2 linked regions of the Neurospora crassa OR74A genome follow. The protein of the gene in region 2 purifies or fractionates together with the protein of the main gene of each other region. This does not show direct contact. Links are inferred from orthologs where the notes say so. Each region holds a gene or a part of one and is shown on either strand. Other genes may lie near its edges.

Region 1 (7,571 bases), about 440 kb from region 2:
TCTTCTCCATACACCCTGAAGCTTGAATTAGAAAGCAGCCCGCACCACAGCCGCTATGGCGGACGCGCAACGAGAGGCCATCTGGGGCACTGTTCAGTCAGTCCCCTGCTACACTAGGGTAGAGCTGCTCAGGTACCAGTGGCACCCTTCAATACAAATGAGTCTGGACGCCGACTTGACGTCCGCGCCAGATGCTCTTTTCTCCGATCCCTTAACTTTTTCTCCCCCGTTTTCTGACTGTGAATCTGTTTGAACCTCTCTTCTTTTGAACCGGCTTCTCACCATAGCTATCTCCATTCTCTGCTGGTGGTCTCACAAACTCGGGCAACACAAGTGATCTGCAGTCAGCTTCTTTTATAAGTGCGGGGAATCCCTCGAGTTTACTCCAAAAGTTCCCATCGAGACTTGGCGAGGTTCATCAAGACAAGGACCATTCCTTTAACAAGCTCAAAACTATCTGGGAAAGGATTCCTGTGTTCGAGAAAAACAAACAATCAATATGTCTTACTATCCTCGTGAGTATAATACGCTCTTCAGTTTGTTATTGTTATATGATAAAGCTAACAAGTATGTCAGCACCTCCTGGAGCATCCGGTGCTGCAGGTATGTTCCAATGTTGAAAAGCGGATGGAACAGTTGATACTGACGAGGACAACAGCCCCTGCTCAACACAGCTACCCACCTCCTCCCATGTCTGCTCCTCCAACCCAGACAAAGTTCTCTTACCCATCTCCTCCGACCACCCAGCAGCAAGGAAGGCATTATCCTCCTCCTCCTCAGTCCGCCGGCTCGTCTGCCACGCCGCCGCCCAAGTCATCCACTCCTTCGTACCCCTTTCCTCCTCAGCAGCAGCAGCAGCAGCAGCAACAGTATCAACAACCACCACAACAACAATTCTCCCCACCACCGGCCCAGCAATTTTCCCCACCACCGACTCAACAACACCAGCAATATGCGCCACCACCAGCCCAGCAGCAAGTGCAGCAACCGCAGCCTCAATACGCGGCTCCCCCAGCCCAGCAGCAACATGCTCCAACCGCCCTCCCTCTGCACATGAGGACCGATTCCAGCGCGTCCCGAACTTCTGCCCACACCCCTCCTCCTCAGCAACAGTTTGCCGCTCCTCCGCCGTATGCTCAAGGCGAGCAGCAGCCCCAGCAGCAGCAGCAGCCAGCACCCACACAACCGGTTGGTCTGGGGTTGAGCACTTCGGCAGCGGCTGCCATTACTGGTGCACCCGCCGCCGGACAGTTTTCCGGTGTAGGTGCGGTGTCGGATGACGTGGGAACGTTCAATGGTGGCAGTTACCGTATCAGCCATCGGGATTGCAATACTATTTTGACTGTGCAGTTGGCGATCGGTTGCCCGTTGGATGCTAAGCCGGGTATGCTTTCTCTCTTGAAATTCACTCCATAGGTGTATCCAAACGAGTGTGTACTTGGCTAACAGTCTCTATCTTATTCTCGCACAGGATCAATGATCGCCATGTCCCCCTCCATGTCCCTCAAGGGAGCCTACAAGTTTGGCTTGAAGAAACTTGTTGCCGGCGGCGAGATGGGCAGCTCGACTTACACCGGTCCGGGTGAGTTGCTTTTGGCCCCTGCCATGCTCGGCGATATCACGAGTCTCCGCCTGGATGGCTCCCAGACCTGGTCTGTCAGCCACGATGGATACCTTGCTTCGACGCAGAACGTCACCAAGGACTATAAGCGCCAGGGACTGGGAAAGGCCATGTTCTCTGGTGAGGGATTGTGGGTGTACAAGATTAGTGGCACGGGGCTGTTGTGGCTGACGAGTTTTGGTGCCATTGTTCGGAAAGATGTGAGTTATCAGTTGTCTGAAGTCCGAGTGGAAGGGTGCGGGTTGCTAACAGAGGAGACAGCTGGCGGACGGCGAGAAGTACATTGTTGACAACGGCCACTTGGTCGCATGGAATACCAAGTACGTTCTGGAACGTGTTGCTTCCGGCGGCTTACTATCGGGCTTCGCTTCTGGCGAAGGACTGGTGTGCAAATTCACTGGCCCTGGAACAATATTCATCCAGACAAGGAATGCGGTTTGTCAAACCCCACACCAGCTTGATACGTTTGGACATGACATAAACTAACTTTTATAAAGACTGCCTTTAGTGCGTTTATGACCGGTCAAACAGCAAAGGCCTAGAGCTGGATTAGGATGTAGGAGTCGTACGGGAGAGTGATACCTGTGGCGGTCGCATTTGAGGCTGTGAACCTCGCATCACTTGATGTCCTTTCATTCTGTTTATTTTGAGTTTGTTAGCGATGTCATGTCGGCTTTGAGATGTGTTCGGGAATAGTTAAAATGTCAGTATCAGTGAACCATGAGCCTCTTGTCCTGTCCTTAGACTAGAAGCTTGACAGCTTCGTTTCCGCTTGGCAACCTATCGATCCGCCATGAATGAGGTTTGGGAAACAGGCGACATAGGCCTGGCTCTCCAAACAATGATACGAGAAGATCCCACCGGGAAAAGACAGACTGAGAAACTTTGAACAGTGGAAAGAAAGTCCAAGTTTGCGAGTAAAAGGGTCTTCGGTGACCGGCTGGCTTTCTAGGGTTAGGGTCAAAGCAGCATCGCGCCCAACTTCACGGACAAAATTACGCCTGTGATTGGCCAGCTTTTTAATTGATTTTGTAAGAGCTGCGCGTCAAGGTAACTTTAGACGCGTCTCCCAGACCAACATCATCCCCAGTCCACGGCTTCCAACCGACAACCTCCCACGTCAGAAAGCCAGGAGGACAGTCCTACCAAGTCTCCATCATGCTACGATCAAACGTCAGTCGCATCGACCCCAAAAGGCGAAACGTCCTCGACCACCGCAAGAAACAATTCGCAGAAGCCGCCTACAAGGACACCGATTATCCCCATCGGCTCAACTTCTACTCGACCCCTCCAACAGCCGACATCACCATTGAGCAGTTTGAACAATGGGCCATCGACAGGTTACGAAGTATGTATCATACCACGCTCATATCTCAGTGATCTACAATACTGGGCGTGCCTCTAAACGCTAATCAACCTCTTTCTTATCATAATCCAGTCCTCGCCGAACTCGAAGCATGCTCCTTCCGTAACAAAACCCCCGCCGAGACGGCCTCGCACATGAAACCTTTACTCGACAAGTACCTCCCGCTCGACACCAACAGCTCCTCCTCCTCCCAGCTCTTCGCCCAGCGGCAAAAAGACCACTACAGCCACTTCATCCTTCGTCTCGCTTTTGCGTCCACGGAGGACCTCCGACGCCGCTTCACCCGCGTCGAAACCATGTTATTTCGCATGCGCCTGAACGCCGACGACGGTCGCGAGCGCGCGGCTTTTATAAACTCGCTTAATCTCGACTGGGAGACTGTTTCGGACGAAGAGAAGCGCGAACTAGCTGCCGAGTTGGCAGCGACTGCCTCCTTCGGCGGCTACAAAAAGGGACAACAGCAGCAGCAGCAATACGAAGAAGACCAACAAACATGGTGCAAAGTCTCGTGGCTGCGCGTCCCCGAGCTGGTCGAACAGCGGCGCGTCTTTCTCCGACAAGGCTACGCCTACGTTCCCGCGCGCGAACAGCAAGCGATGGTCGTTTCGGAATTCTCGTCCCGGCTGGAACGACAGCTCGAGTTAACCGCCCGGGCCCTTCCCCGACTAGACGAAGACGACCGCTTGACGCCCATCCTGGCACACTTGTCCAAGAACTTTATCACGCCCGACGCTTCGTACGTAGGTACTTCATCCGCCATCTCCTCGGCGGATATCTCAGCCAGAAACATCGACACGCTGGTGAACAACCACCATTTCCCCGCTTGCATGTCCCATTTGCATCGCACCCTGCGGCGGGACGCGCACTTGAAGCACTACGGTCGTCTCCAGTACACCCTCTTTCTGAAGGGCATCGGCCTCAACCTCGAAGAATGCTTGCTATTTTGGCGACAGAGTTTCAACAAAATCACCGACGACACGTTCAACAAGGAGTACCGGTACAACGTGCGACACACGTACGGCGACGTGGGCGGCGACAGCAATCGGCGCGGCGGCGGTTACTCGCCATATTCGTGCCAAAAGATTCTCACAGAACATCCTCCCGGACCGGGCGAGGCGCACGGGTGTCCGTACAGACACTTTAACATGGAGAATCTGCAGACGCTGTTGCAGCAGGGGATGGGGGTGACGGATCGCGGGGTGTTGAATGGGGTCAAGGAGGATAAGGAGAAGCAAAAGTTTCATATGGCTTGCAATCGGTATGTTTCTCCCCGCCGCCTTGCTGCTGCTACTCTCTTGACGCTGCTGGACTTGAGCAGTGAATTAACGCTGATGTGGGATACAACCCAGGGTATTCGAACATCTTCACAAGGAAGAACTCAAAAAGGCCAAGGATGAGGGTATCATGACTGCGGCGCAGCTTGAGACTATTGTCCACCCCAACGAGTACTTCAAGCGGAGTTACTTGCTGAAGAATATGGGCAAGATGCAAGGGGATGTCAAGATGGAGGGTTGAAGATACCATGCATGGTTGATGCGGACGAGCTTGAAAAGAGGTTCGATGTGGAAATATGGATGGGCATGGGATGTGGGACCCGGGTTTCTTTCTGTTGTAGTATTTTCTGGCGTTCAGGCGACATAGCGACGACATGACACTCGTACAAGTTCACCCACACACACATGTATGGGATATGATTTGATGAACATCATTAACTTGATCATATTCAACATGTAGATTTATGGTTCTGACATGCTATCCCATACCACGAGTACAGCAGACACCAAAAGAACTAGGCAACACATCACAGGTAATCAAAAGGTGAACAGAAAGTGGTGAGAAATGGGTATCAATTGTTTATTCTTTCTACTGCGGCAATGGCTTCCTGAAGCGACCTTGCAACCAGCAGCGGTACATCTTCAGCTTCTTTGCCCGGTTGACGAGCAATCTACGATCGACACCAAGGTCCTCAATCACGAAGCGGATGTCAGGCTCAGAAGCGTCCTCGACCTCACTGTCCTTGGTAAACAGCTTGCCCGACCAAATATCGGCCAGCTCGTCTTTCTCAAAGAAGTAGACGCGAGTGCCATCACCACGAATGTAGAAGTTCTCGTCCAGATAACGACCCTTCTTGAAGCGGACCTGAGCCAAGTCTCCTCTTCCATAGTCACGGAAGCACACTTCACCGCCGGGCTTGAGCACACGGTAGACATTCTCGACGGCCTTCTTCCACTGCAACGGGGACAATGCAGAGAAGATAAACACCATGAGGGCGACGTCCACCGAGTTCTCATCAAGGTGAGGGGGCAGCTCGTCGCCGGCCACGTCCCACACATCGGCCTGCATCTGGTCCGTGTTGTAGGCCTCGTGCGAGCGCATGACCTCGACGGCCTTCTTGGAGAAATCACAGGCGTGGATCTTCAGTTCGGGGTTCTTGTTCTTGGACAGGATGGGGAAGGCCGTGTTGCCCGCGCCAGCTCCTATTTCGAGGAGGGTGCAGGGGCCGTATCCCTCAGAGGTGACCTTGTCCAAGATAGGGAACTCCTGCTGAAGCCACTTGCGATCCTTGAAAAAGTTGGCGGTGTTATTCTTGTAGAACTGGTTCCACCACTTTGCAGGGTCCGAGTTGAACCGGTCTGTTGCAGGCAAGTTGAGTTAGCAGACTGCTCCAAGGTCTGGATGTGGTAGCAACTTGGTGTTTGTTTGAAACAGAACCCAATGGTAAAGGGCAAAATCAGATGGGAGCGAAAGACTATAAAATACGTAGTTGTCTTCATGAATAATTCAGATGAACTATGCTTATGATTGTAAATCATCACGGAAGCCCAAGAGAGAGGTGCAATGGGTATGAACCCCTCTCTTAGCGTGAACCATTGGGGAGAGCGAGGTGTGAAAGATGGACGAGTGGCTACTTACGCTTATCAAAGTCCGAGACGGGCGCATTGCGCTGCATCTCGTACTGCTGTTCAGCATACTCCTTGTATGCGTCATCAGTCTCGACATGATCCCACGCGTTGAACTCAAAGACGTCATCCTGCTCCTGCAGATAGCGAGATCCGAACTGAAACGGGTCGCTGCGCTTTTGGTTGAACTGGGGATCGTGGGACCGGTGGGGAGGCTGCTGTTCCTCCTGCTGCTGCTCAGGCTGCTGTTTCTCCTCGGCTATTTCGAGCTTGGAGATCTGGGCAGCGAGCTGCTGCTCGGGCTGTTGTTGTTGTTGTTGTTCATCGACGACAACCTGTGCCTCGGTAGAGGCGACAGGAGCGACGACGCCATTCGATGCCATGGCGAAGGACAATGTTGGAGGATCCTGGTTAGTGCACTGGTAAAAAGATGCAGCTAACAATCACCACTGGTCATTGAATGGCACTGGCTTTGTTGAAAGGTTGACGCAGCATATCGTGCTGGTTCTTGAACCGCGGAGGGAACGAAGAATGAAGAGACGGAGAGGAGAGGAGGGGGAAAAGATTTGCAAATTCCGAAACGAGGAAAAGTACAAAAAATGGTCCAGAGCCTGTGGAGCCAATTGGGCTGTGGAGGGGGCCCACCCAACTTTGCACTCAGTGGGCACAAGCTCCGACTGTCTTATCCTTATCTACCCCTAACCCTGGTTGTCCATTGAGGTTGTCGCATCAAGGAGCTGTCCCTCACTCGCCCCCGAATTCGAATCTGGAGATAACTCGCAGACAAATACTTGAAAATCGATAGAATCAAGATCTTGATGCTGGAATACGACCAAATGTGTGAAGTAGATATGATTCAGCGTTCTTCCCCCAGCCGAACCGTTCGACCTTCGAGTCCCGCAGCAGCTGCCGTACCTTCCCTACGGCTCCTTCATCCGATCTCAACCTCAACGCTAATGACCATATTAGGGACCCGGTTGGTCCCTAATTTCAACAACAACCGCTTGGTCAGATGGCACAACGGTCTACCGTTTGAGTTCTCAAAACTCAAAAACCTATTGCCTGTCCGGATCGGGAACGGTGTGCTAAGATACGGAAAGGGGTCTTCACATCTAGTAGCCGGTCTACCTATATGGTATCTGGGAACGCTCCAGTCGACAGATGAAATCAAACGGTTCACCGATGCTCTGACCGGGCGGTTGTTGTTTTTTGCTCCTCTCCTCTCCTCTCTTGCTTGCTTGGAGAGAGGTGGTGCGTTCGAGCCAGTCGTCGATAATCTTTTTTTGGCTTCTTAAATTTCATTTGAAGACTACCGAACACATTCTAGTCGAGTATTTGTCGACACTAAGCAGTCTCCTTGCCCTTTCCCGCACGCTCCTCCCTCTTCTTCTCGATCCTCTCAAGCTCCATATCGATCCTCTTGAAGCTCCAGCTCTTCCAGAAGGGGGGATACAAGAACGGCCTAAGGTCAAATCTGTTGTCATCCGGCGCTATGATGGGGTCAGTCGAGGTACTTCGACAAATGGATCATGTCCGGAACTTACAGTAATCATTGCAATGCAATGCGGGAGTCAAGGTGGTCATCTTGTGCCTGTTGATGGCATAAAAGTGGAAAAACCTCTTGACCTTCTCGGCAACCTGTCTGGGGGTATAGAAAGGCGCCTCGTCACCCTCGACCTTCTCA
Region 2 (8,106 bases):
GGTATCTTGTTTCGAATTAGGTATCCTATGCACCAGGCAAGAGACCTATACAAATCAAAAATTGTCCAGAAAGTGAAATTGCACGAAAACCACCATGATCGATAAAATACAATGGCAATCGCGCTAAGGAGTAGGAGTAGACGAGTGTGTGGGCTTGACGATCAACCAGCTCGTGCTGTCGAATCTCGTCTTGATGACGAGAGCAGACAACCTACCTACCTAGGTAAGCCTTCATTCAACTGCGAGATTGAACTCGGTACTCTGGCATTACATGAAAAATGGTTCTGTCGTACCTACTTAGTGCCCAGGCTGTTTTCCACTAATGCGTGGCTAGTACTGTACTGGAATATAGTGTATAGATCAACCCTTAAAACTATTTGTTGGCGCGCGAGGTCCCACTGGGTGGCTCACACATGCACCAAAACTTGTTGACTCCATTCACAGCGGCCAAAACAAACCTGTGTCCAGACAATAAAGTAGCCATACAGTCATGAGACTGTAGAGCATGAGGTTATATGGCGAAGCAGCAACCCGTTTCATGTTCCACTGAGTTTTACTAGTGTTTGAAGACTGTCAACCAAGCTTTGGCGTGGTTGTTACTACCTACGTTAGGTGCTCCTTATCAAGCAGTGAGACCGAGTGTTGTTTGATGTAGGGTAGGTACCTCTTAAAACAGTGCCAACCCTTTGTTCAAACTAAACTGATATTATGCTTCGCCTTCTATGATGTCTAACTGACCAGAAACACCCTAATGGCGCCTAGTTTTTCTATAATTGGTATCAAATACACGACAAAATCACCATTCTACTCTTTACCTAAACCCATTGCGACTAACCCCAACACCGTCTATTATACAGCTGAGCGCACCTTTTAAGCAGTGGTCTCTCCGACCTCAGTTGACGCGACAACCTTTGGCTTTTCCTCTTCCTTCTTCTCCTCCACAGGCACCGCCGCCGGTGTGGGCTCTGGAATAGCAGCAGCCTCGGGAGCCGGGGCTGGCGCCTCGTCGTGAGCCTCCGTTGCCACTGGTACGGAAGCAGTAACAGGGGGAGGAGCAAGAGCAGTCTCGGAAGCAAGAGCAGGCTCGGGAGCAAGAATGGTCTCGGGCTCAGCAGCCGGCGCAGGCGCAGATGCGGCAGGAGTGGGCTCAGGAGCAGAGGTGGCAGCGGCAATAGGACCAGCAACGCCAACCTGAGCATGCCCAGTGATGAAATCCTCCAGCTCGCCAATCTGCTGACCACCGGCAACCCAGCGCTGGTACTTGGCCTCCCGCTTCTCGACGCACATCTTCTGCAGGGCGGGCCAGTAGGTGGCATGGTCGTAGTCGAACTCAAGAGAGCCGTTGAACTCGGTCCAGAGCTGCTCGGCGGGGACGTACTTCTTCATGTCCTCGTTGAACTTGAGCTTCTCGCGGGTGTTGGGGTCGATAAAGGGAGTGATGAGTTTGAAGAAGCCGTTGACAATCCAGGGAACTGTGGTTGGTCAGTTTTCTGGGTGTTCGTCAGACATTAAGCATTGCACATACCATTAATAATGAGAGCGCGCCCGAGTCTCTCGGGGTAGTGGTTCTGAAGGATGTTGAGGACTTCGCGAGCCTGACCGATGCCAGGAGCCGTGTTGGACCTGGACTTGCTCGACTTGAAGTTGATGAGCAGAGACAGAGTCTCAACCTGGGGCGGCATAAGGTCGATAACGCGCTCGAGCATGAAGACGAGGTGCTGAACTTGGCGAGGAGAGGCCTCGGTGTTCTGGCGGCCAGGGTTCAGGTAATGGCAGACGCGGCCCTCCTTGTCGTAGCCCAAGATGATCTGCTTGCCGGTCTCGTTTTCGGGCGAGATGTGATCCGCAGTCAACTCCTCGACGCCGTACTCTCTCCTCCACGTGAGCGTGCCCAGGATGCGTTTCTCAGCCTCCTTTTGATTCCATTTTGTTGCGCGCAGAAAGCGGAGGAGACATTCCCGAGTCAACCAGAACTTCTCTCTATCGGTGATGGGACCGGCCTTGCCCTCAGTCGCAGGGACTTCCTTCCAGTTTTTGACTTGTTCGAGCAACCAGTTGTACTTTTCCTCCTGGTCAGCCGTAAGCGCCGCTTGGGGCTTGGGCTGGCTGTCAGGGGTAGGGGAAGCCAGAGGGACCTTGAGGACAGTGGCCATTTTGAGCGAGCGACGTGGTAAAGAATTTGGGAATTAAAGAGAGTAGAGTGAGCAAGATCAGAAAATGCAGGAAAAAACGGAACGAGACGTAGGAGGTTGGCTTAGAAAAAGAAAGTTGAGATACGTTGAAGTGGAAGTGCAGTGGAATTGGACGATGCCATGAGCCCAATCTCAAGCGACCGACGATGTGTCAGCCGCAACCAAACAGATTAGGGGCTTTGATTGCTGGCCTCAGGGCAGATCGCTTCGATGATCACGGAAATTGGCGAATGTCTTTCCGTCTGGACCGAAGCAAAGCCAAGACTTGCTTGGAAGCAAGATGTAGAAGATTTGTATTTCACCATTGAAAATATGTGCTGGCTTGACGGAATTGGTGACAAACCCAACATGTCAATCTTCTCGAGTTTTGATGAAGCAGTGCACCTGCTTGATGGACATTTTGCTGCCCCTGCGTTCACTTTGAAGAGTTTGGACAATCCGTCTGCAACTTGCAAGTACGTCTTAAACTTGCAGCAAAGCGCTTTCCGGATTGTGGAGCTAGGGAAGCCGCCGCGCACCAGCCACAGATCCCCTGAGCTACAGCGCCGCTGCGTCACACCCTCGGGCCACAAGGACCACCCCTGCCAATTGGATTAGCGTGTTTTCGCGTTAATTGATTTCTACGGCGCGGTCAGCACCACAATGGCGCGTCCTGTGAATGTGTAGTGGTGGTTCCCCTCCGTGATCATATTCGTGATACCGAATTGTTTGTTTGTTTGTTTGTTCATTGTGCCACTCAAGCTGCGACCACACAACTCGAACCGCTATTTGTTGCAACTTCAAGTAGGGACGGGACTGCATCGACTAAATCTGTCAAACATCACGAGCACCGAAGAGAAGAACGAGGCGCAAACATCACCTGCCATTGCGATCATGGCCGATCCAGTCGTGGCCGAGCTCAACGAGCGCTTCGGCACTGCCAACACCGAGCTCTCTCCAGATGTCATATATGAGCTCCAGTCGATTATGCGCCTGCACGAACTCGACGTTCAAGACATGTTCTTCAAGTGGGAGTCGTACTGCATCAAGATGGACATGGACCAGCCCAAGATGTCCATGTCCACTGTTCGCAAGTTCAAGCAGGACCTACAAGACACACTAGAACGAGCAAACCGAGCTCAGGCGTTGGAGCAAGTCAAGACCGAAAAGCGACCGGGAGGAACACCAAGGCCAGGAGCGAGGAACAATAGCGATGTGTTTGGTATGCTTGATGGACTCACAACACCGGCAGCTCGACGGGCAGCAAAGCTTGGTTCGGCTAGGAAAACACCAATGGGGACTCCCATCGGCTCCCGCTTGAAGAATGAGCCCGTAAGCTCGCCGATGAAGCTGGAGGCACAACTAGATGCCATGGGCGTGATTCCGTATGTCCAGACCAGTTCCCTGCATACGTACTGTATGTACCTTGCTAACCGTTCCAAGACCATCTTCTTTCAAAGATAGACCAAACGCCGGCGAAGTGATCGAAATCCTCAACGAAAATCTCCCTGCGCCCGAACCACCCATCGCTCCCTTCGGCGAGTCCCGCATCAAACTTACTGCCGCCTCCGATCTGAAGAAATTGGGCTACAAGCCACTAGCAATGAAGCTTTCTGAAGCATCCGAGATCTTGGACGACAGGATAGACGACTTTACAAGTTTGGTTCTGGAACATTACAAGTTGGACGAGTCGGTATTCGGCAGCGCGGCTATGCAGAGTACCACAGAGATCGTGGCAGTCGGGCGTGTCGCCTCTGATACGTCCGAGGGCAAGCTCAACGCCGCTTCCCTCGTGTTAGAAACCTCCAGAAAGTTGGGCGGCGGTTTCCGGGTACCCCTAAACGTCAGCAAGCTCAAGGGTTACCAGTTCTTCCCCGGACAGATCGTCGCACTACGCGGAACCAATACCACGGGGCGTGAGTTCACCGTCAACGAAGTCATACGCATGCCTCTCATGGGCAATGCTGCCTCCACACTAGAGACCATGGCAGCACACCGTGAGAGGCTACGCGGCGGTCCGGACGCCATGGACACCGACGACGAAAACCCCATGCCTCTTAACGTCATCTTTGCCTCTGGCCCCTACACCGCCGACGACAACCTCGACTTCGAGCCCCTCCACACTTTCATCAACGAAGCAGCAGACACCTATGCCGACGCCGTCATCCTCACCGGCCCCTTCATCGACGCCGAGCACCCCCTCATTGCATCAGGCGACTTCGACCTCCCCGAGGAAGCCGTCTACGACCCTGACGCTGCAACTCTGAACACTGTCTTCAAGTATCTCATCTCGCCCGCGCTGAACCGACTCGTGTCCGCCAATCCGCACGTCACCATCCTGCTCGTTCCCTCGGTTCGCGACGTAATCGACCGCCACGTCTCTTGGCCGCAAGACCCCTTCCCCCGCAAGGAGCTCGGCCTGCACAAGAGCATCAAGATCCTTGGCAACCCAATGACGCTCAGCCTCAACGAGACGTTGGTGGGGATCAGCAGTCAGGATGCGCTGTGGGAGCTCAAGCATGAGGAGCTGATTGGCGGCACGGTGGAGGATACCAATGGCTTGTCGAGGGTGGCGAGGTATCTGATCGAGCAGAGGCATTATTTCCCGCTGTTTCCGCCGACGGATCGGACGAAGCTGCCCAAGACGGGGAGACAGGTGATTGATGGGCAGGCTGCGCCGGGCGCCATGCTGGATATCAGTTATTTGAAGTTGGGCGAGATGGTTAATGTGCGTCCGGATGTGTTGATTGTGCCGAGCGCGTTGCCGCCTTTCGCCAAGGTATGTTTTTTTTTTGTTGTGTTGCTGAATTTGCTTTTCATCCTGGGAATGCGTGCAGTTACTGACTTTCTTGTCTAGGTCATTGAAAGTGTGTTGGTCATCAACCCCGGGTATCTATCACAACGCAAGCGAGCCGGTACATATGCCAGGATGACACTGTATCCGCCAAAACTGTCGGAGGCGGATGCTGCGCCAGGTGGGATGCTTGCCCATAGGATCTTTGAGAGGGCAAGAGTCGAGGTCACCAGGATTTAAACTTAATCTCGAAGTTCTGGGTTTGGTAGACATGTCTTGATGATGTGAAAATTTGGAGGTATAAATCTGGTTTCCATGTATTTGTATTCGGCATTGGCATGAGGATAGGTATAACCAGGTGGTTTGGCGTCGGGATGAAAAAGAGTTTGCACATTCACCTTGACGATACAACAGTATTAATGTGAGAAGTTCTTGCATGAGCCGACGAGGCCGCAGGTAGGCAAGACATGGACTACCTAGTATCCACCTTTCTTCGCTTGTCGCTCTCATACCGGTCCCGCTCTCTGGATGGTGACCGTTTCCTCCGCTCGCCGTGGTCGCGATCACGATCACGTCTTGGAGACGGCGACCGGCGCCTCTCCCTGTAATCATCATCCCGACGTCTGTCACGGTCCCGATCCCGATCCCGGTGACGGTCCCTGTCTCCGTCCCTGTCACGGTAACGGTCCCGAGAATGGTCTCTACCACGGTTGCGATCTCTATCGCCTCCCCTATACCGATCCTCACCACGCGGCCTGTCATCACCCCTTGACCTCTCCGGGGCGCTCTTCCGATCACCCAACGGAATGGCATTCGAGCCCTTCGGCCCATCACCACCCCTATCCCTGTACCGATCCCTATGAGAGTCATCAGGCTGGAACCTTTCATCTCCAAACCTGTCAAACTCCCTCCCTGGCCTGTTGTCATGCAGGCGGCCCCACTGTCCCGTATCTTCACTCTTGAGGTCTCTGTACTTGGTGGCGCCCTTTCTTCCCAGCTTGGTCATATCTCTCAGCTGCAGCGCCTTGGGCAACAGCTCCCGGTTCTTAACATCGTCCGCAAACCTCGCGCCCATAATGTCTCGCTTGTCCAGTCCCATCTCCTTGCTCTCATCCTGGTAGAAAGCACCCTTGTGAAAGTACTTTTGCATGTATGCCATCTTGCCTTTGCCCTCTTTCTCTTCCTTCTGCTGCTGCAGGTGTTTTTCATCTTCGGCGCGACGTTCTTCTTCCGTGAGGTTCCGTCGGCGCTCGATCTCTGCGAGTTCCTTCTCCTTGGCTTCGATAGCCTCGCGCTCGCGCCGGACGCGCTTCAGCTCACGCAGTTTCCAGGCAGCGTATTCGGCTTCGGGGTCAATGTCATCCGTGTCGTCGATTTGGTCGTCTTCTGGGTCGGTGTCGTCGTCCCAGTGCTTCTTGCCAGCGGCGCGGGCGGCAAGGTCTTTCTTGATTTGCTCTTCGACAAGCTCGTCGGCGGCGCGGCGGCGGGCTTCTGCGGCAGCTGCTTCGTCTTCTTCGGGTGTCGATTTCTTGTTTGTCGAGGCGGAGTTGGATGCGGTTACTCCAGCTTCGCGGTCGGCCTTTCGAATGAACTTTGGTCGCAGCATCAACCGCCTTGGTGCTTCCTCTTCTTCTTCTGAGCTCTCTTCCTCTTCCGACTCTTCTTCCTCGTTGCCACTTTCCTCTTCCTCTTCGTCTTCCTCCTCTGTCACGAACCCTTCCTCTCTTGCTTTCTGTTCGGCCGCAATGCGCGCCTTCGCAGCTGCCTCCCGTCGCTTTTTCTCTTCTTCTTCGTTGTCTGGGGCGTTGCTGCCTATTCCGGCGGCTTTCAAGTTGATCTTGCCATCGTTGCCACGACTGATGATTCGGCCAGGACCTGCTGCATTGGCAAACTTGGGCGCTGGCGCTTTCCGCGTGGAAGGCTTCTTGGGGGCTTCCTCCTCGTCTTCGGGAACGTTGTCGGATTCGGATTCGGAGTCGACACCGGTGGGCTTGCCGGCGCGGTAGCGCGGTGCCTTGACCGGGTTGGCCGTCATGCTCTTAGCTGGCGGCATGACGGGCGTGGCTGTGGACGTGTAAAGCTGATATCTGGATGGCAATGCAAGGCTGAATGATCAAGTACAGGTGGCGAACCTTAAGGACGGGCGGAATGGCGTTCAAAATGAAATGCTGGGAAATGCAACTTTCATGTCCGGGTGTAATGATGAAATTACAGTGCAACGTCACGTAGTACGATACGTGCAGTAAATTTTGTGACGCGGCAAGTGGACCTCGCAGCGGGTGTGTTTGGTTCCCGCTGCCCGGCAGGGCCACGACCCGCCGTAGCGATCGAATGCCCCGCATGACAGCCCTGTGTGTCTGTGTTCGGGTGTTTTTTGGTCTGTGCTTTCCGACTTGCAGCGACGCGACGAACGGAACACTTAACTCTTAGGACAGGAAGGGGGCTCCAAGACTTACAGAAAGTGCCTATCCAGGTACCTAGAAGGAAGTGAATGATGCCAATTGGAAAAGCAACAAGATATTGAGGAAGGTACATAGCTCAACCAAGACAGGAAGAAAGTCCTGGAAGCAGGGTTGGGGACGAAGCATCCGGCGTGTAGTACCTATTTCCTATGTATATATTGGCCTCCCCAGCTGTTGTTTGGCCCGTTCGTGTTCACCCAATCACTGCAGGCATCCCCGCCTTTCTACCTCTATAAGTTCCCTTCTTCTCCCCCCCCCCCCCCCCCCCGACTTTTGTCCTCTGCTTAGGCTTCACTTTTCCTCATTCGACACGCTCGCTCTCTTGCCAGTCTCCGCATCCCGCGGACTGCACAACATCAGCGACATTTCAGCAACACGGTCTTCTTTCCTCCTCCGACCTCCGTTGTCTCATATGTCATCGTCCTGTAATTCATGAGGCCCACAACCGCATGATCAAACCTCACTGTCCTGAGCATATCTGCCTCCTCTTCCTGCCCATGAGGTTTTCGTTCAGGCATTCTTCCTTGATGACATCGCCTTGAGGCTCGGTTCTCTTCCCAGTAAGGCTTCGTTATCAGCACCGCAGCGCGTGTCATCGACTCTGGTCAGGTCCGAGGACAGGTCCGTCATCAAGGCGATCCAGTCAAGGTCATCGCAGACTCTTCCACTATCGTATGTC

The links. Proteins that work in one complex are often made in the same cells at the same time.
Region 1: the proteins of NCU03597 (region 2) and NCU04646 purify together in Saccharomyces cerevisiae (affinity purification with mass spectrometry; 3 studies listed by BioGRID). This does not show direct contact. The link is inferred for Neurospora crassa OR74A from reciprocal best matches to the Saccharomyces cerevisiae genes POL12 and PRI2.

Annotation. Positions count from the first base shown.
Region 1 is NC_026505.1:1,345,320-1,352,890, reverse strand, and holds NCU04646 (DNA primase large subunit), read left to right. Parts: upstream 1-2,689; 5' UTR 2,690-2,779; coding exon 2,780-2,969; intron 2,970-3,059; coding exon 3,060-4,245; intron 4,246-4,336; coding exon 4,337-4,502; 3' UTR 4,503-4,728; downstream 4,729-7,571. Other genes in the region: NCU04645 (DUF124 domain-containing protein), read left to right, coding at 500-515, 577-603, 659-1,384, 1,472-1,821, 1,883-2,056, 2,119-2,163; NCU04647 (actin binding protein), read right to left, coding at 4,851-5,620, 5,901-6,270; NCU04648 (glutamine-dependent NAD(+) synthetase, variant), read right to left, coding at 7,232-7,377, 7,432-7,571. UniProt on the Saccharomyces cerevisiae protein: DNA primase is the polymerase that synthesizes small RNA primers for the Okazaki fragments made during discontinuous DNA replication. In a complex with DNA polymerase alpha (DNA polymerase alpha:primase) constitutes a replicative polymerase.
Region 2 is NC_026505.1:1,788,863-1,796,968, forward strand, and holds NCU03597 (DNA polymerase alpha/primase associated subunit), read left to right. Parts: upstream 1-2,824; 5' UTR 2,825-3,065; coding exon 3,066-3,556; intron 3,557-3,614; coding exon 3,615-4,950; intron 4,951-5,028; coding exon 5,029-5,205; 3' UTR 5,206-5,437; coding exon of another isoform or gene 5,438-7,018; 3' UTR 7,019-7,159; downstream 7,160-8,106. Other genes in the region: NCU03596 (CRAL/TRIO domain-containing protein), read right to left, coding at 871-1,472, 1,526-2,153; NCU03598 (microfibril-associated protein), read right to left, coding at 5,438-7,018. UniProt on the Saccharomyces cerevisiae protein: Non-catalytic component of DNA polymerase alpha, which in a complex with DNA primase (DNA polymerase alpha:primase) constitutes a replicative polymerase.